Linked DNA regions of Astyanax mexicanus. The protein of the gene in region 2 interacts with the protein of the main gene of each other region in a pairwise test. Links are inferred from orthologs where the notes say so. Each region holds a gene or a part of one and is shown on either strand. Other genes may lie near its edges.

Region 1 (7,799 bases), on a different chromosome or scaffold from region 2:
ACACATTATACACAACTATATTAACTTGCTCTTATAGCCTACAACACTGAGACCAGGCAGTTAACCAATGAAACACATATATGCAAATTCCAGGACAAGGCAGTCCGTGGGGAATGACTACACACTGATGATGTGTGAGAGATGGTAGGACACGCCCAATGTGCAAATAGTGTGACCAACATCCAGGTGAAAACCCCTGCAGAATTGCTCTGTAGACCCCGTTCACCTAAAGAGTCGAACTGAGCATGTGCAGTAGTGCAGTAATGCAAAGTAGTTGGCTTGACCTCAACTAGGGTTCAACTGCAATTTGTAAATTCTATCAAAACAGATTATTTATTCAGATCTACTTTTAACAAGAAATTTAATAAAGTTGGTTTAGGTAATTCGTTTTCTATAGTTTACAGTGCAATTCAATATTTTTGGTTCAGCTGAATCACATTAAGGAGAATTTTTTAAGTTTTGCTTTTTTTTACAGTGAACTAATAATAATCTTTTTTTTATATATAGGACCTTTTCAAAAAAAGGTTTTAAGTGCAAGATAATACGAAATAAATAAGCTAGTGTAAAAATAATACAATAGTCTCTTTAACCACATGGTTCTGCTAATTCCCCCTCTCTTTCCGCAATATTTTGTAGGAGTACTCATGCCTCAAACCATGCGTAAATATACTCTTGATCTCTTGGCAAGTATTTCTTATAAATCCTGGTTCCTGTGTGAGAAGTTGCGCAAGCACATTCCAGAGAATCCAGGACCTTTAAATCAGCAGCAATGCTAACGTTTCAGCTCACCTTCTTTAGGGCTCCTTCGCTGCATGACCTTTACCTTTGACCTCAGTGATGTAAGGTTCCCCGTGGTTTCTGGCTTTGGCTGATCCTGAGGAAAAAGCTCTCCAAGCAGCAGAGCTTCATCTAATCCATCCAAACACAAACATCATCCACTTAAATATCATCTCAAATTATTGACGTGTTCACATTTCTACAGGAAAATGGTCCAAATATCTACAACATTACAGTTTCTTTGATTTTACCAAATTAAAATCCTCTGGAATATAATCAAGAGGAAGATGGATGATCACAAGCCATCAAACCACCAAACTGAACTGCTTGAATTTTTACACCAGGAGTAAAGCAGCATAAAGTTATCCAAAAGCAGTGTGTAAGACTGGTGGAGGAGAACATGATGCCAAGATGCATGAAAAAAAAAAAACTGTGATTAAAAACCAGGGTTATTCCAACAAATATTGATTTCTGAACTCTTACAACTTTATGAATATGAACTTGTTTTCTTTGCATTATTTGAGGTCTGAAAGCTCTGCATCTTTTTTTGTTATTTCAGACATTTCTCATTTTCTGTAAATAAATGCTCTAAATTTCCAGAGTTGTATATCCATATATGTATCCCCATCTCTCAGTGAAGTTATAATATGGGCTGCTTTAGGTATGAGGACCGGTGCAGCTAATTTTTACATATTAAGGTTACATATAAGGTTTCTATTTTCAGTAGTTAATGGTAGCTATCATGGTGGATATTAAGGATCTTAAGGTTTTAAGGAAACATGCAAAGTTCAAATACTGTCTTTTGTTGTCAGCAGGGCTAAAGCCAGTCATTTATAACTAGAACTGTGCAGTACGTCACAGAAATCTGTGTGGGTGTGGCCTCTGACTCCGCCTGCTGCTCGTTCCCAACACTAACTCCACCCCTGAGGTTGCCAGAAACCAGCTTTTGACACTTTACTGAACATCCTGTACATTTGCACTCCTGGACACTTTTGATACTTGATGTTGGGTGATGTGGATCAGCACAAGGCTGCATCTGTGAGCTGATGTATCAGAACCGAGTCGCTGCGCTTTTCTCCGAGCGTTAGCGCTGTGATGCTTCTCAGTAATGCTGCATCAGCAGCAGTTCAAAAAGAGAGTATGGTGTCAAAGTAGGGTCAAAAGTTTTGAGAAGCAGTATTTTTAGTATATCTCTTTGCTTTTAGTATTTTTTTTTCTTGGTTTTGTTTTTGGTTTAGTTTTGATCCTGTTTTTACAGGTGGGTGGGGACTAGTCAGAAAAGGGTAAAACACAAAATGCAATATTAAACTCTCTATTTAATAAAGAGTATTAAATATTCTGTTTACAAACATGATTTTAAAATTTATAATATCAATTATTGTCCTTTTTTATTTCATTATTTTTAGTTATGGATTATACTTTTGGTTCTCAAAACTTTTGACCCGATTTTGACCCCATAAGAGAGAGTCTGACTTCTAGTCTTCACCTTCCTGGTGTTGGGGGATCACTAGTGATCCTTGGCCTTGTAAATTGGTGAGAAAATGGGATAAAAAAAAAGTCATGGGTGAGAAATGTAATGATTTTGGTCTGATTTTAGCTGAATCCACCCTCAGCTCAAATAAAAAAAGCTAAACAAAATGGAAGGAGGAGGAGTTTGGGAGGGGCACTGAGTGATGTATGGGTTTAGCAGGAGGGAGAGCTCATTGGCTGAGCTGCAGCAGCAGTAGTGTGCCTCTAATAGCTGTAAGACGTAGATGATTGGATGTCAGTGGGGGCAGTATTATTGGTTGACTGATTTGCATATTGTAAGTATTCGTGTATTAAAATACACGGACACATCATCTTCGCCTATAGCACAGCTGAACCCAAAGGGGGCGCAGCAGAGGCGGAAATGACCAGAATAAAAGAGTTTTTTTTTTTAAAGGTTAGGAAATGTTTCGGTTATTTTTTAAACAGGACTGGTATGTTTTATTACTTCAAAGGAAAGTATTTCAAATATAAATAAAAATAGAAATATGATTTAGGGTTTAGTGCCTACCTGTGTGGGTTTCCTCCTTGTAGATGAGCCTCTCACTGCTACAGAAAGAGAATAAATCATTTTATTTTCAATAAAATGTTTGTTGTGATAAGATACACCTGTATAAATGAGGTAAAGCTCACCTGTGCTGATCCTCTGCAGGTATTAGAGGAGCTCTCCTGTGTTTCTTCAGTGTGGACAGAGCTGAACTAATTTCTGTTGATATTTATATACATTAAATTAACTGACTGTGTTTAATATAGCGAGTTATCTGTAATAAAAGCTGTAATAAAGCAGATATAGTGAAATACATGTAATATATCTGTAATATATATGAGCTGCTGAAGTTTCTGAGCTCTCCTCTCTGTTTGTTTGTATATGGGGTAGTCAGTGGTAACCGGGCTCGCCTGCAGTGTGGAACTGTTCCTGTAGGGGGCGCCAGCGCATCATTCAAAATTTACACCAGGGTTTAAAGGTCAAACGTTTGGACCCACCTTAAATGCAGTGTTTTATCATTATTTTACAAACTATAATAAAAAAAAAACATCTGGAATTATTTACTAAACCAAAAAAATGTTAAACAACCCAGAATATAATAATATATTACATTCTTAGATAATCAGTTTTGCACATCTCTGCTGGATTTTACCTGGAATTCAGGCTTTCAGTTAACAGCTGTGCTGAACTCATCTCAAAGTGTTTGAGAGCATCAGTTAAAGTAAAGTAGTGAAGAGGTAGAGTTACAGGTATACAGTGAATAGTGAATATTTGAGTAATGTTCTAATCCAGATTATGAGAAGCAACATCTACTCAACTAAATACATAAAAAAATACTTTAAGAAAAAATAAAGTGTTTATGTAGGTGTCTGTTTTATATTTATTCATACTTAAAATGGCAAATTAAAAACAGGACAGGTCTCTTTTTATATAGAAATTACTACTACTACTACTAATAATAATAATAATAGAAAAGAATAATACAATAATAATACAAATAATACAACTATAAATAATACCCAATATATTGACGCTTAAAAAATGGTAAAAATAATCTTAAAACAAACAGAAATAGAGATATGAATCAGTTAATTAACAATTAGATAAAAAAAATAAATTAAATGAATAAAAGTGATTAACACGCACTTTCACTCACACACACACACACTCTCATTTTTACACACACATACACATACACACACACACACACACACACACACATACACATACACACATACACATACACATACTCATACACACACACACACAAACACTCTCTCTCTCTCTCTCTTTCACACACACACTCACTCACTCACTCACTCACTCACACTCTCTCTCTCTCTCTTTCACACACACACACACACTCTCTCTCTCTCTTTCACACACACACTCACTCACTCACTCACTCACTCACTCACACTCTCTCTCTCTCTCTTTCACACACACACTCACTCACTCACTCACTCACACTCTCTCTCTCTCTCTTTCACACACACACTCACTCACTCACTCACTCACTCACACTCTCTCTCTCTTTCACACACACACTCACTCACTCACTCACTCACTCACACTCTCTCTCTCTCTCTTTCACACACACACTCACTCACTCACTCACTCACTCACTCACACTCTCTCTCTTTCACACACACACTCACTCACTCACTCACTCACTCACACACTCTCTCTTTCACACACACTCACTCACTCACTCACTCACACTCTCTCTCTCTCTCTTTCACACACACACTCACTCACTCACTCACTCACTCACACTCTCTCTCTCTTTCACACACACACTCACTCACTCACTCACTCACTCACACTCTCTCTCTCTCTCTTTCACACACACACTCACTCACTCACTCACTCACTCACTCACACACTCTCTCTTTCACACACACTCACTCACTCACTCACTCACACTCTCTCTCTCTCTCTTTCACACACACACTCACTCACTCACTCACTCACTCACACTCTCTCTCTCTTTCACACACACACTCACTCACTCACTCACTCACTCACACTCTCTCTCTCTCTCTTTCACACACACACTCACTCACTCACTCACTCACTCACTCACACTCTCTCTCTTTCACACACACTCACTCACTCACTCACTCACACTCTCTCTCTCTCTCTTTCACACACACACTCACTCACTCACTCACTCACTCACACTCTCTCTCTCTCTTTCACACACACACACACACTCTCTCTCTCTCTCTTTCACACACACACACACACTCTCTCTCTCTCTCTTTCACACACACACACAAACACTCTCTCTCTCTCTTTCACACACACACTCACTCACTCACTCACTCACACTCTCTCTCTCTCTCTTTCACACACACACTCACTCACTCACTCACTCACTCACTCACACTCTCTCTCTCTCTTTCACACACACACACACACTCTCTCTCTCTCTCTTTCACACACACACACTCACTCACTCACTCACTCACACTCTCTCTCTTTCACACACACACACACACACACACACTCTCTCTCTCTCTCTCTTTCACACACACACACACAAACACTCTCTCTCTCTTTCACACACACACTCACTCACTCACTCACTCACACTCTCTCTCTTTCACACACACACACACACACACACACTCTCTCTCTCTCTCTCTTTCACACACACACACACAAACACTCTCTCTCTCTTTCACACACACACTCACTCACTCACTCACTCACACTCTCTCTCTTTCACACACACACACACACACACACACTCTCTCTCTCTCTCTCTTTCACACACACACACACAAACACTCTCTCTCTCTTTCACACACACACTCACTCACTCACTCACTCACACTCTCTCTCTCTATCACACACACACTCACTCATACACACACTCTCTCTTTCACACACACACACACACACAAACACTCTATCTCTCTTTCACACACACTCACACACTCACACACACACAAACACTCTATCTCTCTTTCACACACACTCACACACTCACACACACACAAACACTCTATCTCTCTTTCACACACACACACACACTCACTCACACTCTCTCTCTCTCTCTTTCACACACACACACACTCACTCACACTCTCTCTCTCTCTCTTTCACACACACACTCACACACTCACACACATTAACACACTCACTTTCACACACACACACACACACACACACAGGCTCCTCCCCTTCCTCCAGACTCCTCCCCCGGAGCGGCGGCGGTTCGGCGGAAGATGCTGAGGGAAAAAGCGCCGCTGGTGAGTTTTTATAACCCCGCTCCCCGACCCGCTTCAGCCCGGCCCGGTCCGGCTCCCAGCCGCGGTACCGCTGCCAGCCGCCGCTCTCACCCCCCACACTCCCTCACACCCCTCACACACACCCCGCGCTCAGAAACATCCAGAACATAACCCCGCGGTCCCCCCGCGTTAACACTTCCCATAGACTTCCACTAGCGCCGCGGCTAACGAGCTAACAGGCTAACACTTCCCATAGACTTCCACTAGCGCCGCGGCTAACGAGCTAACAGGCTAACACTTCCCATAGACTTCCACTAGCGCCGCGGCTAACGAGCTAACAGGCTAACACTGGCACTCACCCGGGGATCCGGAGAGGCACTTACGAGGTTTTAACGCGATATTGACCAAGTTAAATCGATTAATGTGATAATTAGGCGACTGTTTTTAATATCCTGGCTTTTTATTTGCTTTAGAGATACATTAATCTCTAAAACACAACCTGTTGTTGTTAGCCTGCCGGCTAACCCACTGCTAACAGGCTAATATTCTGTGTTTTCGCGATTAGCTCACACTGGCCACTTTATTGGAAACACCTCACCAAACCCATCTACCTACTATCTTGTCAGGGGCCACTTTATTAGAAACACCCCGCCGTACTCGTCTACCTGCTATCCTGTCAGTGGCCACTTTATTAGAAACACTCTACACACTGTCTTGTTGGTGGCCACTTTATTAGAAACACCATACCTACTATATTGTCAGAGGCCACTTTATTAGAAACACCATACCTACTGTATTGTCAGTGGCCACTTTAGTGGAAACACCAGCTGGTTTTAAGGTCTAACGTTGGAAGAAGAGTCACTATATGGGTGAAAGTTCATTGTTTTTTCTGCATATTTTTTCTTTTGAAAACAAGAGTATTAAAGAGTTTATAGTCTCTACTGTTCAGAGAAGACTTTCTAGTAAATATTTTAGAACATTGCTGTGAGGATTTGATTGAAATGAATGTCAGGAATGTAAGGTCAGGATGTTGGATGATGATCACCAACCCCACCTCATACATCCCCCACTTCCTCAACTCATCCTATACTAGTTGTCCACAATACTGGGGACTTTATACCCCTAGTATCTCACGTCTCGCGTTAGACATGGGTTTTGTTTGTCTGTTTGCAGTACTTCTCTTCTACAGGAACTTAGACAAGCTGTGTTTGTGCATTTGAACACCTGTGTCAGCAACAGGTGACAATAGATAGTTGTAAATAGAAATGCTTTTAGGCTAATCTGTGGTTCGCTCTGCAACACTAACCAGTTTTTCTTGCTATTGGCAAAAAATCTATACTCAGGTTGTGCAATAACCTCGCTGTGGTTGCTTTATTAGAAACACCTTTACTTGTTCTTCCACTCAGTTGCCACTGGATCGGAAATAGGGCTGCAACGATTAGTCGATACAATTGACAAAATGTTGATTATTTAAATTTAAATCAATTACAAATTTCATTATAGATTAATCGTTAATTCGTATAAGTACTGCATTACACAAAGTGGTTAGGACAGAAGCGCAATACGAGATAAGCCATTTCCGGACGGGATTAGTTTCTCAGGGGGTTCTGGGATATTTTTCTCTTTTATGTGGGTCCTCTGTGATTTTATTCCTGTCCAGAACGATCATGTACGTGTTTTTCCTCTGAGAAAATTACAGGCTGATTTATCCACTGTTTTTCTCTGAACTCCGTGCTCCTCCGGTAATTTTAGTCCCGTCCGGATCCACA
Region 2 (9,218 bases):
TGCTTAACATTTGCAGAACTGAGTAGTAATCAGGCCAATTCACGAGAGGAAACAAGGAAAGCAGACCTTAATTGAATTAATGTTAACACAGACATCACTTGATATACTGCATTTTACACTTATATTGGCTGCTTGCCATATTTAAAATTATGCTACAGAACATCTGAAGTTAAATGTAAAAAAGATTTTTCAGACATTATAAACATGTGATGTCAAATGTAAATATGATGTAACAGTTATAATTAACCAAAATATAATCAAAAACTAAGAAGTGTACTAAAAAAAATCAGTGAAAGTAAAGGATGCTGCTCCCGATGAGCGAGACGAGGCGAGATACTGGAAGAGGCCTGTCAAAGACAAATCTGGAGTCCAGACACTCCTGACGCATGAAGTTGCTAGGGAGCAAAATGAGACATTATCAGCCATTATTAATTAAATGTTACATTTTTCTCTTACTCGAAATGTACATTTCATTTAAGCTTTCACCACTGATTTCATCCTAACTTACACTCTTGAACCCTTTTAAAACAGTAAACATGAAAATAGTCCTGCGTTTCAGCGATCTTGAAATCTGACCAATGCTTATCCCATTTACACACATATGCCATCTCTAGCCTGAATATTATATTAGTACTGAAACGGAACAACTAAGAAGTGAAACAGTATTTAAATGTTACAATTCACACAGATCTGCAGAAATATAAACTATAAAATACTTAAACAACAACAACACTCGTGAAAACTGTTCCTACCACAGCAACCGGGCATCAGCGGTCAGTCCAGCGATAGAAATGCCAATGTGGTTATCAACATGGAGAATTTTCTTCTGATGGGCTGCTAATTCAGACTGTGCTCTCTAAAACAAAAAATAAAAACACACTTTAATATTTACGTGCTTTACATGAATAAACTAGAAGAACAGAAGAATGAAGAAGAATTTCAAACTAATAGGACATGAGTTTATAGTTAGGTCATACAGCCCCATGAGGAAAACACAGCACGAGTAACATATTTTTTTAATGTATACCATGATTAATAAGTGTAATACAAAAAAGTTCACACAAAAATTTATTTGCTGCTCTTTTAAAAGGTTTCATTCCAATGGTTTCTTATTCATTTTTGGTCTCTAGTATAAATGAATACAATGCGAGATGTTTTTTGTGGAAAAAAAATGGTCGGGTGTTTTTGTACAGCCCTGCTTTATTTCAATGAATTTGTGGTCTCTTAAGAAAGACAGGATTATGGCTCTTGCTCATGAATATTCATACATGCAAATATATATTGCTAGCAGCACTGCAGCAGAGAACACAACCTGCCTTCCCCCTAAAGTCAATTTTACAGCTCTAAAACTCAAAAGACAAATGTTTTCAGAGATACATATTTAGCTGTAAAGGTATAGCACTGTGAGCTAGAGTCAAAATAAATGTTATCAATGCTGCAGGGCGAGCGGATGCTGCCTGCCGCGGCCAAGCGGCTATGATTAGGTGCTTGGGCAGTTTTACTACGTCTTAGTCAGAGTCAGCTGGATATCATAGAATCTGATGGAATGGCGCGTGCTTTGACCGGTGTTCTGTCGAGTTGTGTTGCCTTGTCAAACCATGCTTCCCAAGTGTATATTAAAGGTCTCATTATAGTTAGTTACACAAGATAGCTAACATTATCTAGCTGGTGTAAACAGAGCTGTAAGCCCTTTAGCTAACATTGTTGGCTCTGTCTGTGGGCGGTCCCGACCCAAGGTGGGCGAGGCCATGAACTCATGAGTTGACGTAGACTTGTTTTCCTGAATTTATTTTTTGTCTTTCTTTAAAGCATTTGTGTTTTCACGTCATCATAAATCCCTTCTGCTGAACACTCACTGACATTGTAAACAGTGAAACAGCTTCAGGTCATTAAGCTAATTGTAAGTGGTAGAGGGAGCACTTTAATTGATGTTTAAAAAGCATCCCTTTCTCACTGGTCACATGTCAAATAAGATTTCTCTTAACTCCGACTCATTTTTTAACAAACACAAGGCTTAATACCTTTAAAGCTACCAGAACAGCATGAGAGCGTGACTTGAGCCCCACAGTGGCAGATCCCTGCTTCACCGCCTCCATCGCATACTCGATCTGATGGATCCGCCCCTAAAAAACAACACATGCAATAAGGTATGATACCTCACACTTTATAAAAAAAATTAGTAAAAATTGTTAGAAAATACATTTTTACCTGAGGACTCCAAACTGTGACATCATTGTCATACTGGTTTCGAAACTGAGGGGGAAAAAAGATGACAAATTACATTACAGTATGCAGTGCTGAGGATACTGTTGATAGTGTCTGTTTAATGAACGACTGCTTGTTACATGACAAACTGAATTAGAGATGTTTAACTTAATTTATTCCATTGTGTTGTGATTAGTTTTTCCTGCTTCAATTTACTAATCCTGGAAATTCACTGTTAAATAATCCAAGCATGATGTTACTGTTTTTTTGTTTAGCCTATAACATTCCCCTACAGCTGGATGCTAAAATCTTATTAATTCACATTGAGGAGAAAGGTAATTCTAATGAATTCTAAAGTAGTATCAGAACTCAAGCCACTTGATGTACCAATAGGGTAATCAAAGCAAAACGTTAAATTCATTTTAACAGCTCTACTTGTAGGTAGGTCTAATAGACATAAAAGAACAGTGCAAATAGAACAGTAGGTCTTAAACTATGTGGCAGGTTCTTTAAATGATGGTGTGACAATAGATGTGAGAGATGGAGTTGGAGAACTATTCATTCCTCATTACCAGACCTAATTGATTTTCTTAATCTACCTCAATGATTCAACAGCTGGTATAAAGCATTCACAAAACAAGCTAGAAGAACTGCAACCTCCTGAACATCCGGTTATAAATAAGTAATCAATTCATTAATTAATTTGTAATTAATTAATAAGTAAAGGATTTAATCTGTTTAGGGGTCCAGTATTAATAATGGGTGAATAAGTGTTAAGGAGGGTTAAGGATCTTGCCAGTTTAATCAGTGTATGAATGATCAAGCATCATTGTTTAAGGTCGAAAGTGAAAGCAGTTAGATGTAATTACGGGTGGTCAGCAAACCTGTCGAATAAACCAGATTAACATCTGAAATCTGAAGACGGTAAATGGAATAAACGGATGTGAGAAACATGTTAGCTACATTAGTTTTATATTAAGAGAGTAAATAAGCAAAGACAGCTAAAACATCAGGAAGTTTCTGTTAGCTAGTTAGCTTTAGCCATCTTAGTCATTCAGCATTACTCTAGAGCCTGATTTGTTTAGCTAGCCAGCTACAAATCCTGATTTAATAATCAGCCACGAGCATATAACATCTCAATAACGATAAAAACTAAAATATACTGCAAATAATCACAGCAGCACAAAGCTACTAAACTAGCCCATCTAACATTACACAGCATAATCTAAACTAACATAGGCTAAGCTAAGCTAGGCTAGGCTAGGCTAGGCTAGGCTACCCCGCTGTAAACGCTTACTCACGGTCCCGATGGTTTATTATTAAATAACTATTTAAACTAAACAATCCCGATTATTCTCCCCGTATTTAATCTTACTGACTACAGCCCGAGCTCAGCCCGAAACCAGAGCGCAGAATTCCCTCTAAAACCTCTCTTTAATTCTGTTTCTCTTCTCACCATCTCCGCGCTGCAGCTCTCTCTCAGCTCCGCTCGGCTCTGCTCTTCAGACCAAACCAGAGGATCCCAGAGTCACTGATTTACACAGGAGAGAGGGAAATTACTCTCTAAGATCGACATATAGTTATATATATAGTTATGTGTTGTATATTTTTTTGACCCTTTATTTGACCACAAGGACACATTTATATTAATAATATATATATATATATGAAAAAAATGCGGGAAAACCCTTACACCAAACGTCTGTTTATACAGATCTAAATAACTGTAACTTATATACACTTTAATAAATTTATAACTGATTAAAAATACGATTTTTCCATGCAATTTTAAAGCTTTTATTTGAATCCCATTGTCTTTTTTTTTTTTTTTTGTTTTATTTTAGTTTATTACTACTGCCACTATTGTTATAATTAAATAATGTGCAGGAGTAAATCAATTGTTTTAAACGGGGCTGTTTAAATGCTTTAGAAAATGACCCTCTGCGTTATTATTACTGCAAAAGACCTGGATTAATAACACAGACATCATTAAATTATCTCGGATTTTATAGCAGCACTCTTAATAAGTTTTCATAATAATCCACCTTATAAATGTTGTAGATTTTAAGTAAAGTCAATAACGTTATAAGCATGTGTTACAGAATAGAAACAACGCTTCTTATGAGTTCGCATAGTGAAATTAGTCGAATATTTCCCTTAAAAAATGTCGAGGTTTAGGTGCTGTAGTCACACAATATACGTATGAACTACAAATCCCACAGTGCTGCGCAGCGCTTCACCGGATGTTGTTACTGTCCAGGTGTACATACCTTGCATTGCAGCAGATCAGCTTTTCAGCAAGTCATTAGTTATTCAGTAATTTTCACCTGATTGCAGCGTTTATATGTTCCAGAAAAACCCGTATCTGAGCCACTTTGCTCCCTCCTGCAGTCTCCATGTGTGTGTACGAGCCTGAATTTGGCCTTTCATTTAAATTAATCAGTCCACCTTAAATGGTACAGTAATCAGATTACGGCGCCCGAGAAACTAGCATGTAACTGCTGCACTATTTAAGGTGGAACGGATCAATTAGATAAGCAGTAAACTTTATCTAGCTCAGTTTGTCTCTTGTTTACAGTAACCCAGCCTCGCTTTCTTTTAAGTAGTATAACAAGTTAACCCTGCTAAGGCTGCTTTAGCACTTTACCCGTGTAACATAATCCAAAAAAGGCCTTTTTAACGCACTTGTTCGTCTTGTTTAGCAGTAGTTATGATGCCGTAATCGTGTTCATTCCCACTACAGTAGGATTATACCAGCTACTAGTTAGTTAGCTGAGTACTCAGCTGTCATCTTCTGTTCTTTTAGACTGATATATATACACTGTAGGTGATGCAGAACAGTTATGCAGAGAGTGAATATCTGAGGCGATTTACGATTAGTCAAGACCATAGATAAATCACTCTCGTCTCGGTTGTTTCTCTTTAATTCCTCCATGTAACACCGCAAGGTTACATTACTGATTATATATTTTATAAATGTAGTATTTTAATTTCTTTTTCTGGTGCGCACCATCTGTATTAGCTTTTCTCCCTTTATTCTCTGACTTCTCACCTCCTGCTTCACCTGTGTGGCTCCGCGCTCTCGCATCTGCACAGATCTGATTGTCAGAGGAGAGTGTTTGCTTATCTTACAGCACATGTGATTGGTCTGTAAGTTTACTGCGCTGTAAAGCATGTAAACCGTAAAGAAAATAAACGTTCCACCACTTTAAATGAACACTGTCTGTCAGAATTAAATCTTTCTTAGTAGTTTATCGGTTTGGGTCCGGACTGGACAAAGCATGGGTCCGCCTATTAGGGACCTCTGTCCTAAAGTACTCATTGAACATACACATTCTAAGAGACAAATGAAACACTCATATCACTAATTGAGTTTTATTAAAAAAAAATCTTTCAGGGGTGTTTCTGCAAAAGAGGATAGCTACCTTAATACAGCAATATTATTTGATATGTACATTAAATGAATATTTAATATAAGTCTTACTATAGCATTTTTTCATACTCCAGTTGTTATATTTTTGGCTTAATCCTTTTTTCTATAGGAGCTTGTACTGTATATCCAGCTCCAGTGTTCTTTTGTACAATGCTCGTACAGTGTCTGTTCCAACCTTTAAAAAGAGATTTTCATTATTCATTTGTGGGAGATGTATTCATGAACATACAAAAACACATAAATTATAACTGACTGTGTTGATTCACCTCAGAGGTCACCCTACTACGCCTGCATGTGGAGGGTCCAGGTTGGAAGGAATGCTCTGTTTGTTCTGTGTAATGTATGTTCTGTGTATTCAGTAGGACATAAATGCATTAGCTATTTCAATACAAATAACACTGAATTTGTAGTTGACCATTTTACCTCTGAAGGCCTCTCAGAGCACCCAGAGATAGTATCCTCATCATGGTCATCTCCATCATGATCCTGATCAGAAGCAGCATCCTGATTGGTAATCGGGCAAATTGGATTCTTTGAAACATTTACAACAGTCCTTTATAAATCACTGGTTGTTTGGACCAGCAATCAACCGTGCCCAAATTTTTAAAAAATTGTTTAATTTAAATTTTATTTAAAGAATTACTGCACACTTTCTATAAATCCTACAAACTTCATTTTACTTCTCAAATATCACTATGTTCATCTTCTATATGATATACTTAACTGAAATTGCAGATCTGAACCAACAATGATTTATAAAGAAAAATCATAAAACTTTTTAGGGTGCCCAAAATGTTTTTATATGGTTCAGGTCCATTGGAACACACAAGGTTCTCCACTAATGGAAAGGTGGTGATCCATGGAGAACACACACACACACACACATAAGAGGTCTTCTTCAGATCGCACTTAGTCTGGAACCTCCCCCTCGACCGTACCGCCATGGGTGACCCTACCAGGAACCAAAGTTACAGCCGGCATCGCTCTCAGGTTCATTGGAACACACAAGATTCCCCACCAACGGCAAGGTGGCGATCCATGTTGAACACACATTCACACACATACACATTTATACATACAGACATACAAATACACATACAGATACAAAAACATTAACATACTTACAGAAACACATTCATACATCATAAAAACACATGCAGACATGCATACATATGCATTCGCACACAATCACTCATACTTACATGCACATACACAAAAACACACATACAGAAATATATACGCACACACACATGCATATACACACAATTTAAAACACACATACATACCAAACACATTTGTGCACATACATATACACAGAAACACACATAAATACATGCATATACATACAAAAACACATGCACACATACACACGCACATACGTATGCAAACACACATACGTACACACATGCACATAAGAGGTCTTTTTTGGATCGCACTTAGTCTGGAACCTCCCCCTCGACCGTACCGCCATGGGTGACCCTACCAGGAACCTAAGTTCCAGACGGCATCGCTCTCAGGTTCATTGGAACACACAAGATTCTCCACCAACGGCAAGGTGGCGATCCATGGAGAACACACATTCACACCCATTCATAATATCACATACACACATAAATACATACATACATACACACACATTCACACACACACACACACACACACACACACATACATACCCATTCACACACACACACACACATACACACACACACACATTCATACGGACACATTCATACACGTGCAAATACACATAGACACAAAAACACATGCAGACATGAATACACATGCATACACATACAAACACACATACTTACATGAACTTACACATACAAACACATGCACATACATTCAGACATATATACACATACATACACACAATTTCAAACACTTAAAACCATACACAAACATACAATTTCAAACACACATATACATACATACATACATACACACAGAAACAAAAACACACATACTTACATACATACAACTATGCACATAAAGACAAAAACATTTGTGTGTATATGTGTTTGAAATTGTGTACGTGTGTTTGTGTATGTATATGTTTAAAACTGTGTGTATGTATGTGTATGTGTGTGTGTATGTGAGTGTATTACTGTGTGTGTATTTCTATGTGTATCCTATTCCTCTATCTCTATATCTATGTAAGTAACGCAACTGTGGTTAAATCTAGAGCTCCGCCCATTCCCTTCTATACACTCCCACTCATTTACATGAAACTACACGAGAACCATAAACTCCTACAGCTAACAACTACGCTGCTGTGGCCATTTACCATCCAATCAGCAACATTTATCCCAAAAATGAAACACCCACCCTTCCCTTCTCCCACTGATACACTGATCCTTCACTACGCCACAAGCTCTTCACAGGGGTCATCCGCTGAGGACCTCCCTTCATAAGCGTTACGCTGAACACCTCAGGAAGACTCAGCAGTGAATTCTGGCATCCCAGACTCACCTCCCTCCAAGCTCACGACACGACATAGATCACAGAATATTACCCACAACCTCCAGACCACTACTGTGTGCCTCAGCCCATTTACCAAAATTCTAACCCTGCAATGTATGTCTGTGTATGTATGTGTTTATGTATGTGTTTGTGTATGTATGTACAGCTCTACAGCCAGATCCTCTACAGATCACCTTTTCAGCTCTTTCTTGCTTTCCACCTGAAGCAGCTGAGCAGGTGCTGTAGCCATCCTCTCTGCATGAAAATAAATAAAAAAACAAAGAACTAAGTAAGACATGGTGTAAAAAAGCATTAACACAGACATTGCATATACATGCACAAACATAACAGTACAACAAAAGAGCAGATTTTTATGATTTATATGCTGATCCTTTTGCTTTAATTAACACTGAAATCTAACCTTTCTGTTTGGAGCTGTCTCTCCTGGCCTGTGATGCTCCAACTCCAGGACCTCCACGTCGTTCTCCAGGTCGTCCTTGTCCTACAAGAGACAGAGACAGAGACACAGAAATGAAGGGGAACTGTTGTACACCTTTACTGTTGTAGAGAATTTACTAATAATTTCACTGCATAATGCTTGTCAAATATTTATATAATTTTATACGTAATATATTGTAAAATGCTTATCAATATTGCCGTGACTGCAAGAATTATGTCTAAAGTGTTTTGGACTAAATTATACCATGAATTAACATAATTATTATTAAATGAGATAAACAGTAAATGTGATATACAGTGAATCTTCTATAGCTGACAGCAGGATTTAGTCCAAACTCTTACCTGTGCAGCTGGCACTGGCTCCAATTCAGGCTTTGTGTCCTGAAGTTCCAGCCGGTGAGAGGGATCTGCCTCTTCTACCTGCACCAGGACTCGGCGAGGAGACCTGAAACGACACACAAAGGAGGTCCGAAAGTTGGTGACAGGGCGTTTCAGGGATCTGCGCTGTGTATTAGTGGTGGGTGACAGTGCAGTGTCTCCCTGGCTGGATGGCTCCGGATGAGAGGTGGTGGTGAAGTCTGGAGCTGGAGCTTCTTTGCACTGTCAATGACAAAAACAAAACAATAGGAGATTATTATTCCTTTCACACAACTTT

Evidence for each region. The genes of interacting proteins can lie anywhere in the genome.
Region 1: the proteins of psma1 (region 2) and UBX domain-containing protein 11-like interact in binary tests that used the Homo sapiens proteins (3 or more experiments, as listed by UniProt). The two-hybrid records come from large-scale screens. The link is inferred for Astyanax mexicanus from reciprocal best matches to the Homo sapiens genes PSMA1 and UBXN11.

The regions. Positions count from the first base shown.
Region 1 is NC_064408.1:128,134,005-128,141,803, reverse strand, and holds the start of UBX domain-containing protein 11-like, read right to left. Parts: upstream 3,089-7,799; 5' UTR 2,938-3,088; intron 2,854-2,937; 5' UTR 2,816-2,853; intron 910-2,815; 5' UTR 815-909; coding exon 790-814; intron 1-789. UniProt on the Homo sapiens protein: May be involved in the reorganization of actin cytoskeleton mediated by RND1, RND2 and RND3. Promotes RHOA activation mediated by GNA12 and GNA13.
Region 2 is NC_064417.1:10,653,839-10,663,056, reverse strand, and holds the start of psma1 (proteasome subunit alpha type-1), read right to left. Parts: upstream 3,753-9,218; 5' UTR 3,665-3,752; coding exon 3,662-3,664; intron 2,254-3,661; coding exon 2,209-2,253; intron 2,124-2,208; coding exon 2,022-2,123; intron 857-2,021; coding exon 753-856; intron 396-752; coding exon 307-395; intron 1-306. UniProt on the Homo sapiens protein: Component of the 20S core proteasome complex involved in the proteolytic degradation of most intracellular proteins. This complex plays numerous essential roles within the cell by associating with different regulatory particles.